2 linked regions of the Arabidopsis thaliana genome follow. The protein of the gene in region 1 interacts with the protein of each later gene in a pairwise test. Each region holds a gene or a part of one and is shown on either strand. Other genes may lie near its edges.

Region 1 (5,631 bases):
GTAAAGCAATGACATTTGCAGACAAAGCCACAACGGTAATTTCTGAAAGCATGCTCCATTTAAGAGATCTGTAATTTCAGAAATATCATTTGTGCTTTTTCTCTGAAGAATCTGAAAATGAGCATGACTCGGTCTGCTCTTAACGTTATACTAGGTTTCACCAACTTATGCTAAGGAAGTTGCTGGAAACTCTGTAATCTCTGCACATTTATACAAATTTCACGGAATTATAAACGGGATTGACCCAGATATATGGGATCCATATAACGATAACTTTATTCCCGTAAGCTTCATCACATCCTCTCCTTTCCTGTCTTTAGATTTCTTTCTACATCTTGTGATGTTTGAACACTTTGTGTGTTTCTTAGGTACCTTATACTTCAGAGAACGTTGTAGAAGGCAAAAGAGCAGCCAAGGAAGAATTGCAAAACAGGCTTGGACTAAAGAGTGCCGATTTTCCAGTAGTAGGAATTATTACGCGCTTAACACACCAGAAGGGAATACATTTGATCAAGCACGCTATTTGGCGTACCTTGGAACGGAATGGACAGGTCCTTTCGAGCCTTATCGACCTTTGAAAAGTCCTGTCATGAACTTTTCACAATCCTTACCGGTTTTCTTGAAAGCAGGTTGTCTTATTAGGTTCAGCTCCAGATCCTCGGATCCAAAATGATTTTGTAAACTTGGCAAACCAATTACATTCTTCTCATGGTGACCGGGCTCGGCTTGTTCTAACCTACGATGAACCTCTTTCCCATTTGGTAGAAAGACAATAACAAACCTTTAGTTGTAGTTCGTTCCTTTATTTGCTGTCGGTATTACTCTTTTAAGTCTTTTTGTGTTTTACTCTCCAGATTTATGCTGGGGCTGACTTTATTCTTGTACCGTCGATATTTGAGCCATGTGGACTGACACAGCTCATAGCCATGAGATACGGCGCTGTTCCTGTTGTTAGAAAAACTGGAGGTAACTGTTTTTGGCTATGGTTAGAATCTTAAGCTTTACCCATTTCACTCAAGACCAAGCTGACTTTACGGTAATGGTTTATCTTTGTCCAACAGGACTCTTTGATACGGTTTTTGATGTTGACCACGATAAAGAAAGGGCACAAGCTCAAGTTCTAGAACCTAATGGTTTCAGCTTCGACGGAGCTGATGCTCCTGGTGTTGATTATGCTCTCAATAGGTAAACCAACCAAAATCTAAACTAAGACTCTCTTTTGATTCGAGCATTATGAACCGATGTTTCTTGTTTCCTTTTGTTCCCAGGGCGATATCGGCGTGGTACGATGGTAGAGAGTGGTTTAACTCGCTGTGCAAGACGGTGATGGAGCAAGACTGGTCATGGAACCGTCCTGCACTTGAGTATCTTGAGCTCTATCACTCTGCACGCAAGTAAGACCAAATAAAATGGAAGCTCTAAGATGAATTCTCTTTGTATGTACAGAAATTAGCTTATGAGACAACTTAGAGAGTTTGATCCTTTCTTCTTCTTTTACATTCCCAAAGCAATATAAAAAACGTGATAGGTCTATGGATTCTGCTTTTGTAATTCTGAATAAATCAAAAGTTAAGCAAAGTTTATACACACACTGTTAGTACTTTTCTCACATTGTTCCAGTTTCTAACTAAATTAGTACTTTTTCACAATTCCAAATCTGACCCGGAAACAGAACAGTACGTAACTCTTTTCTCCGGTACTAGATCTGCAGCTGCAGTTATCATTACATTAGTAGCAAAAATCATCAGTTTAAAATATTTTAGTAACTTCAAAATCTATAATCTGAAACGTCATTATTGTATATGCCAAAACGTTACCAAACTTGTAAGTTATATAAAAAGTGATTCAATTAGTGGGTTTGTTCTCTCTTCATGCGGAGAGAGAGTGGGAGAAAGAGAGTGTGCAGAAAAGTACTGTAAATAGACCCACAAAAAAAGCTTGAATCTTTTGACTTCCAAATTAACAAATCTTTGATTTTGCATTGACCATTCTCTGCTTTTTTTGGATTTGAGTCCTGAAACCAAATCCAAATGTCATTCAAGAACAGAGGAGATTACAATTTTACTCCAAGAAATGTAGTTTCTAGAAACTCTGTATTTTTCATGTGCCTCGCAAGTTTCTGCCTTGGAATGTTCTTCACTAACAGGTAAATCTATTACATGAGCCCCATTTTTATTATGTTCGACGATTTCTTATTAAAGTTTGGATATCTCACTGTTCGTGTTTGATTCTAGCTTCTTTTTCTTTCTGGATTTTTAAGTATTTTGTTGTTTCTAATTTCATCTTCTTGGGACTGAATCTATCTTGTGTTTCTCAAAATTTAAGTAGATTTCTTAAGCTTTGAGTTTTGTCGGTGAAGGCATGTTTTTGTTTTTTATCAAGACTACTGGTCTATTTGTGTCCTTGTAGCTTTAGTGAGGAGGAATCAAGAGACACACACAAAAAAAACTATATCTTATACTGCTTATCAGATAGATTTGATCAAATAGTGGAACATTGTAACTTTTGTAGTATTTGATCAATCTCTTTGCTTAATGTATCGTCGGAAGAGGAACAATTGAATAATTTGAATGGCACATTGTCCACAAAGTATGAAAATAACATAGAGATTACTTCTTTTTGTTTCAAAAATCTGTATCACTGAGATAGATAGTGACTTGATCTGAATTTTGGTTCGGATTTGTGTTTGTTTTGATCTCATGGGATAATGATCATCATTATATCAGGATGTGGAATATAGTACCTGAAGCTAGAGGCATATCAAGACTCTCCAAACTAAGCTTAAGTTCCAGTGATTGCGATAAAAAGAATGTAAGATTTCTACGTTTTTGCATCATCAATTCACTTGGAAATTCGATGATACATTGTTTGAACTTGTGTTTCTTTGCAGGTTTTGGACTATGGTAACAACACTATCGGGTAAAACCATTTAGAAATTTGACTAGATGTATCTATGAACAATTACTATGTATGTTTAGTTGATGATGATGTTGTAGAACTCAAAACAAATTGCAGGATCTTAGATAAATCCATTTCAAATTTAGAGATGAAACTAGTAGCTGCTAGAGCTGAACGTGAGTCATTGTCCGGGAAATTTAACATATCCAATGAAGCTAAGAAAAGAAAATACTTCATGGTTATCGGTATTAACACGGCCTTTAGTAGTCGTAAGAGACGTGACTCTGTCCGGTCAACATGGATGCCACAAGGTAAGTCTGTTTCTACTTTTCTTGATTTCTAGTTTAAATTAGTCAGAAATTGTAACTTTTACGGTTTTTAAACTATCATTCAGGAGAGAATCTTAAGAAACTTGAAGAAGAGAAAGGCATCATTGTTCGCTTTGTTATAGGACATAGGTACAAAGGAGAAGTCATGTTCTGTAGTGAGAAACTAAGCATTTATAACTATACTTTACTTTGTGTATACCGACATTTTTATGTTCTTGGAATGTTCTGATTTCAGTGTGTTGTCCCACGGGATTCTTGATAAAGCTATTGAAGCAGAAGAGAAAACACATGGTGATTTCTTGAGACTGGTAAAACTCTGAGCAATTCTCACAAAATTTTCTGTGTTTGGTATTTTCGTGCTACATTTATTCAAAGCTTTAGAAAACAAAACAGGAACATACGGAGGGATACATGAAGTTATCTGCCAAGACAAAGACGTTTTTCGCTACCGCTGTTTCCTTGTGGGATGCAGAATTCTACATCAAAGTTGACGATGACGTTCATGTGAATCTTGGTAAGAAAATCAAAATGTTTCATTTATGTCTTATATATCATCCATCCATTTTGTTTTGATGCCTTGATCCGATTTTTTGCAGCCTCCCTCAAGAAGGCTTTATCCGCACACCAAAACAAGCCTCGGGTTTATGTTGGTTGCATGAAGTCTGGTCCCGTCCTAGCCAGAAAGTAAGTAAAAACCCTACTAAGGTGAGCATTTTTTAGGTACTTAAACAGCGTAAGAGCATCAACCTTTCCGGACTTTCTATACTTCTGGCAAAAAAAAAAACAGGAGTGTGAAGTACCATGAGCCAGAGTATTGGAAGTTTGGAGAAGTCGGGAACAAGTATTTCCGCCACGCCACTGGACAGTTTTATGCTATATCTAAAGATCTAGCTACTTACATACTGATAAACCAGTAAGTTTTTTTCCTAACTTGGTTTTAGCCAGCGGTTTAATGCAGCCAGAATGCTTGGGAAAAACCTCTAACGATCTCTATTTATTTTGTTGAAATAAGGGATTTACTGCATAAGTATGCGAATGAAGATGTTTCGTTGGGATCTTGGTTCATCGGATTGAATGTAGAACATGTTGATGAAAAAAGACTTTGTTGCAGTACTTCTCAAGGTAAAGAGCTTAACAATCCTGGTTTGGTTTAATCCATAGATGTTACCGGTTTTACTCTAAGTTGATTTTAGTATTTTACAACAGAAAAGCTTTTATACTGGTATGAAATATATCAAGGTTTTAGAAATTTCTCTAAGAAAATCATATTCTAAAGCATTATTGTTTCTTTACAGATTGTGAACTAAAAGCAATGATGGGACATGTTTGCGCGGCGTCGTTCGACTGGAAATGCAGCGGAATCTGTCGGTCGGCTGAGAGGATGGCCGACGTTCACGAACGTTGTGGTGAACCTCAAAATGCATTATGGACGTCAAATTCCTGAAAATATTTATAGAAAACAAAATTTATATCTTACTACTACTACAATGCTATAACTTGCTAATAATTTAGAATGATTAAAAAAAAAAAAGAGAGCGAAAAGATTTCAAAACAATTCTGTTTTTTTTTTTTGTTTTTTTTTGGGTGGGGTTATATAGTTAGTAGGGTTTTTGGTCAGAAAATGAATAAATGTATGCAAAAAATAGTTAGTGAAGTGGTTTAATGAGAGACAAGAAATAATGTTTTGGTCACATTTGGTTTGTCCTATGACAGACAGAGAGTCCTTATTGTTGTGCCTTTTTATTAAATTTCCACATGTCCTTTTTGCTTCTCATTGCACTCCTTTGTGTGTTTTTTCTTACCTTTCTATGGGACCATATATATATATATATATATATATATATATATTAAGTTACTTTTGGACTTATACTCTCTCGTTTTAGAACTCAATTTCGTTTCAGAACAAGTGTAATAACCTCAAACGACATATATGTGAAACAGGAGTATCAATATAGGTACAAAACTCCTAAGTTTATTCAAATGATTTGGATTAAATCGATCGCATCTTTGGATTTCAGATCGATATCATAATTTCTTTATTCGGTCTTGACTTTTCTATGTTGTGGATGTTTTTTACATGTGTTTTCTTAAGTTCGAGCATTTATTTTATTTAGCTGGTAATTCTCTTATCGTCTAACATTGGTTGGACATTTGTCTGGGGAAAATGTAAACAAAAAAACTGACATGTTTACTTTTTTCACTAAACTAGAAATATTATAATTTGATTTGTCACAAACATACTTCCGGAAATGTGGACCGACTTGATGAAATTTCATAGATTTAACCTTATCTGATAGAATAAGTCCAAAAACAGACTTCCTCGTTTTCGTTAGATTAACAACAACAAGCGAATAAACATATACACTTTTCTTTAAATAACAAATAAGATAAATCATTCCACAGC
Region 2 (4,790 bases), on another chromosome or scaffold:
ATGACACAACAAAGCCAGATAATTAACGCAAGTCACAAACTCACAATCTAACACGTTCTCCTGTCTCTGTGATTATTGTAAGATCGACAGATTTATTTCTTCTATTCCAAAACAAGCACTCGATTAATATTTACTTACACGTGATTACCATTTTCTTACTATTTTATTTTATGGCACGAAGTTCCATTTCTTGATTATAAATTTTTAATATTACCGTACCAGAACGTTGACCCAAGTTTTCTATCAGGAAATTTGTTAGGAAATGACAAATTAGTGCTTGATATCATGCATGAATCATGATCAAAAGTTGGCCCCATGTTTTTAAAAACATGGGCTAAAATTTTGGGAAAAAATTAACGAAAAAAAGATTGATGAAATAATTCTGTCAAGTACATAATAAATTCATAATACGAGAATTACGTGAATAACCTAAATTTTGTATCAACATTATTAAAAAAAATAGTGTAGAGTTTCATAAATTAATAAAATAATTTAAATTCAAACTCTAATTAAATCTAACCTCTAGACTTTAAAATCTTAACTATAAATCCGTAATGCATGGAAACATTAATTCTTCTGTAAAACAATAAACAAAACAAAATGGTCAATTGTTTAGAAAGTTCAGTATTTTAGTTAGATGAAAAAGATTTACAATAATAATTGTGTGATTTATTGAGTAATGATCGGGTTTATTCACCAGCCATCAGGCGGCTGATCGGGCCAGTTAACTAACATAAGGTCTGAATAAAAATGGGCCGAATCAATAAGGCTCGTCAATCTCAGTCTTGTGCTACATGTATTTTCACTTCTTCCACTTCCAAGTTCAAACAAATTTCGCCAAAATGGGATTACCTTTATGAACCAAAAGACGACCAGGGGACCTGACTTTATCGGTGTTAATGTTTCAATCATACTAAAATCGACAGAAATTAAAGTAGTGGATCCACAAATCTTACATTTTTATTAGAATAAGAAGTTTACTTATACAAAGAGATGATGACGTGGCCATGCAAGCTTTTTGTTTTATTACGTAGGCCCTCGGCTCCAAAAGTTTGTTGAGACTTCGAAATCTTGGAATTAAAGCTTCTCGTTTTCGAGGTCAAGCGTACATGTTAAGTCATTTTTATTCGTAAAGTGATAATAAGCTTTTTAAGTATCATCAACTTTCATCACTTATACATAAAATTCATTTAATTTACTCTTTATACGTATGACACTTAACCAAAGCTTTTGCTATTTAATCATTTGGCTAACTAACACTTCTTTCTTTCTTTCTTTTGGTAGGTTGCGGAACTAATTAACGCTACTCTTTCAAAGTTAATTTTTTTTACTGATAGTGTTATGTTTCCACAACAGTATGTTGCGTGAGGTGACGTCTATATGCTTATGACTATAAGCTAGCAGCTTAAACTATGTACAAAAATGTACAATGTCATTATTGTGATCACAAAATTGGTAGTTAGTTAATGTCATATATATATATATATATATATGTGTGTGTTTTAATTTTGTTAGGTACAGAGGCACTCTTGTAAATAAAAACTACCACTAAAATCTGAATGTTTTGTGCATTAAAAAAGAAAGAAAGATAAAACCTCGTACCGATCTGAATAATTTTTTATCAATGAAGTCACAATTTTGTACGTTGATGAAGTCAACACGTGGCAAATTACAAACTCGACAATTTCCTCAAGAGAAACAAAAAAAATCCCTGAAAAATTCCTCAAAATTTTCTTAATTTTCGAGATAAATTGATTTAAAATAAAATAAAACAGAAAGATACGCAATGAAACTGCGTTTTCAAGCAAACTGCTAAATTTCTATCTTTTTTTCTCTCTCTCTCTCTCTCTATAAGGGCTCTGCTTCTTGTACAACAGCCGAAACAATTATACCATGACATTAAAATCCAGATTTTTTTCAGTCATTTTCGTATTATTTGTTTAAAAGTAAAGTTTTTCTTCCATCAAAATGGAAAATGTGATCTGGTTTTTTTCTTAGAAGATATTAAAACAATCGGAGAGAGGATTGCAAATTTTTTATTTTTGTTAATTTGCTGTGTGATGGGTCTGGTTGATTCTTTGTTAGGAAAAGATGCAAGAAAATTTCTCAAAAGGAAAGATAGTGATGCTGCAGAAGCAGGTACGTCATTATTATAACAACAATTCATGAATCTGCCTCCATATTCTTCATTTGATTTGCCTCATCATAATTCAGATTTCTCATGATCAAAAATGATGCTTTATTTATTCCCACGTTGTCTCTGTTCTTCACCGTTTAAGTTAAATGGTTTTGATCGGATCTTTAATGGTTTTGATCGGACCTTTAGGCTTTTTTGATCTGTTTGTGAATTTGTAGGACGAGCTTTGGAAGAACTCAGAAGTTCTTTGTACAATGAGCTTAAAACATCAGAAGGAGCTAAAAGGCAACAACAGAGATTTTGTGGCCCTGTTGTTGCAATGTCCTTTAATTTCGTTGTTGCTGTTGGAATCATCCTTGCCAATAAATTAGTAATTTGGTTTCTTCAATCTCAAATTCTTCTTTCTCTTTTTTTTATTTACCATGTGAATGTAATTGTAAGGTTGAATTGTGCAGGTGATGGGAAGAGTTGGATTCAATTTCCCAATCTTTCTAACATTGATTCATTATACCGTGGCTTGGATTCTTTTAGCTTTCTTCAAGTCTCTCTCTTTGCTTCCAATGTCTCCTCCATCAAAGACAACACCTTTCTCATCTCTTTTCTCTCTTGGAGCTGTCATGGCCTTTGCTTCTGGACTCGCTAATACCAGTCTCAAACACAATAGGTTCATAGCTCAATCGCTAAAGTTTGAATCAAGATTCATAGCTTAAGCTTGAAAGCTTTTGTTCTTCTTTGTTTCCAGCGTTGGATTCTATCAAATGGCTAAGATCGCAGTTACACCAACGATTGTTCTTGCCGAGTTTGTTCTCTTCAAGAAAACCATTTCTTCCACAAAGGTTTCGCTTATATCTTTTATGACATGTCAACAAAACAATCAAGAATTCATTACATGTTTTTGGTGCTTACTCTGTTTTTGCAATTTGTCCTCTTACAGGTCATGGCATTAGCTGTAGTATCTCTAGGTGTGGCAATCGCGACAGTGACGGATCTAGAATTTAATTTGTTTGGTGCATTAGTTGCTGTTGCTTGGATTATTCCAAGTGCCATTAACAAAATACTCTGGTCTAATCTTCAGCAACAAGCTAATTGGACTGCCCTAGCGTAAGAAATAAGAATCTCTCTCTTTTACTTTTACTTGAGGTGTAAGCAATACAAGTCTCTTAAAATAAAGGCTTTATTGAATGTAGATTGATGTGGAAGACAACACCGTTTACTGTCTTCTTCTTGTTGGCTCTCATGCCATGGCTTGACCCACCTGGAGTTTTGCTTTTCAAATGGGATTTAACTAACTCTTCCGCAATCCTCATCTCGGCTCTTCTCGGCTTTCTTCTCCAATGGTCTGGTGCACTCGCTCTCGGGTTAGTCTTTTTGTTCTCTTGCTTTGGTTGGAAGTTCAGTCTTGAGGTTATAAAATGCTAACTAAATTTGTTGTTTCTTACAGGGCAACATCAGCAACATCTCATGTAGTATTAGGGCAATTCAAGACATGTGTGATCTTGCTTGGAGGTTACGTTATCTTCGGCTCTGACCCTGGTTTCATCAGCATCTGCGGCGCTATCGCAGCTCTTGGAGGCATGTCTGTCTACACGTGGCTCAATCTTCCGGGGAAATCCATCGATCACATGTCAAACAAGCAGCTGCCAAAGCAAAACGTCACCGTTTCAAAACCTAAAGCCGAGGCTGACGACGGAGGAGGAGAGACCGGAGTAACCGTAGTTTCTGTTGACCCACTTCTCTCCAAGACGATAACTGCAAATATCGTATAGTTTTACAATTTGATTAGATTGCCAAAGAGAAAAAAAATGAGTTTTACTTTTTCTTCTTCAGGTTTTAGTTTGTAAAATTGGTTCAGTTTTGATATCAAATTAGTGTAGTAAAGTATACTAATAAAAATATTTTGATATCATAATGTGACAAGAGGGCTTGGTGGGTTTATTTGTACGATAATGAAATAGATGGTGTAGTTTAGAAGTAATGTAAAACTTGATGTGTATTTTTTTTTTTGTCGTCACTTGATGTGTATTATGAGGTGCAATTAGTAAATATAATAAACCTTTTTGACTTTTTCTATAATTTCAAAAACTTTAATGTAGTAAAGTGAAAACTTGTGGGGAATAGGGTTTTCGGTGATAAAATCGGGCTGACCCGAACCCGGTTTAGTGCGAGATTCCACTGTCCGTCGTTAACAAAGGAGCTAAATCTCAGAACGATTTCTCGATTTGCTTTTGCGACATTATAATTTTCCTTTCAATTGACTCAGTGAGTCGCCGATCGAGTTAGAAATGGGAATGGGAAGTAACGGAGAATTGAAGTATGAGATCTCCCAGAACGCGTACATCAAACTCGTTCTTCACTCGCTGCGACACAAGACGGCGGCGGTCAACGGAGTCCTCGTCGGTAGAATCAGCCCTAAGGACGACGGAGTTGTAGAGATCTCAGATTCTGTGCCGCTCTTTCACTCTAACCTCGCTCTCCTTCCTCCTCTCGAGATCTCCCTCATCATGGTTCGTATCTCTTCTTATTCGAATCGATTTGATTTTACGAGCTTTGAAATTGAATTTTGAAAGAGATTATGATCTGATTGCATTGGTATGTATATTGAATTACGAATTCTGGAAATTTTTAGTTCGTGTACTAAGCTTGAGCTGCATAT

The links.
Region 2: the proteins of AT1G11730 (region 1) and AT5G55950 interact in a protein complementation assay, tested with the Arabidopsis thaliana proteins (one large-scale study listed by BioGRID).

Annotation. Positions count from the first base shown.
Region 1 is NC_003070.9:3,955,443-3,961,073, forward strand, and holds AT1G11730 (Galactosyltransferase family protein), read left to right. Parts: upstream 1-1,841; 5' UTR 1,842-2,030; coding exon 2,031-2,146; intron 2,147-2,726; coding exon 2,727-2,811; intron 2,812-2,890; coding exon 2,891-2,919; intron 2,920-3,015; coding exon 3,016-3,209; intron 3,210-3,292; coding exon 3,293-3,356; intron 3,357-3,462; coding exon 3,463-3,535; intron 3,536-3,620; coding exon 3,621-3,741; intron 3,742-3,823; coding exon 3,824-3,911; intron 3,912-4,014; coding exon 4,015-4,140; intron 4,141-4,239; coding exon 4,240-4,349; intron 4,350-4,522; coding exon 4,523-4,671; 3' UTR 4,672-5,022; downstream 5,023-5,631. Other genes in the region: SS3 (starch synthase 3), read left to right, coding at 1-35, 155-283, 369-551, 630-761, 855-966, 1,062-1,185, 1,269-1,398. UniProt on the Arabidopsis thaliana protein: Beta-1,3-galactosyltransferase that transfers galactose from UDP-galactose to substrates with a terminal glycosyl residue.
Region 2 is NC_003076.8:22,657,524-22,662,313, reverse strand, and holds AT5G55950 (Nucleotide/sugar transporter family protein), read left to right. Parts: upstream 1-1,808; 5' UTR 1,809-2,060; coding exon 2,061-2,139; intron 2,140-2,287; exon of another isoform or gene 2,288-2,355; coding exon 2,356-2,507; exon of another isoform or gene 2,508-2,592; coding exon 2,593-2,801; intron 2,802-2,879; coding exon 2,880-2,973; intron 2,974-3,071; coding exon 3,072-3,238; intron 3,239-3,324; coding exon 3,325-3,495; coding exon of another isoform or gene 3,496-3,556; exon of another isoform or gene 3,557-3,578; coding exon 3,579-3,903; 3' UTR 3,904-4,202; downstream 4,203-4,790. Other genes in the region: emb2731 (Uncharacterized protein family (UPF0172)), read left to right, coding at 4,420-4,641.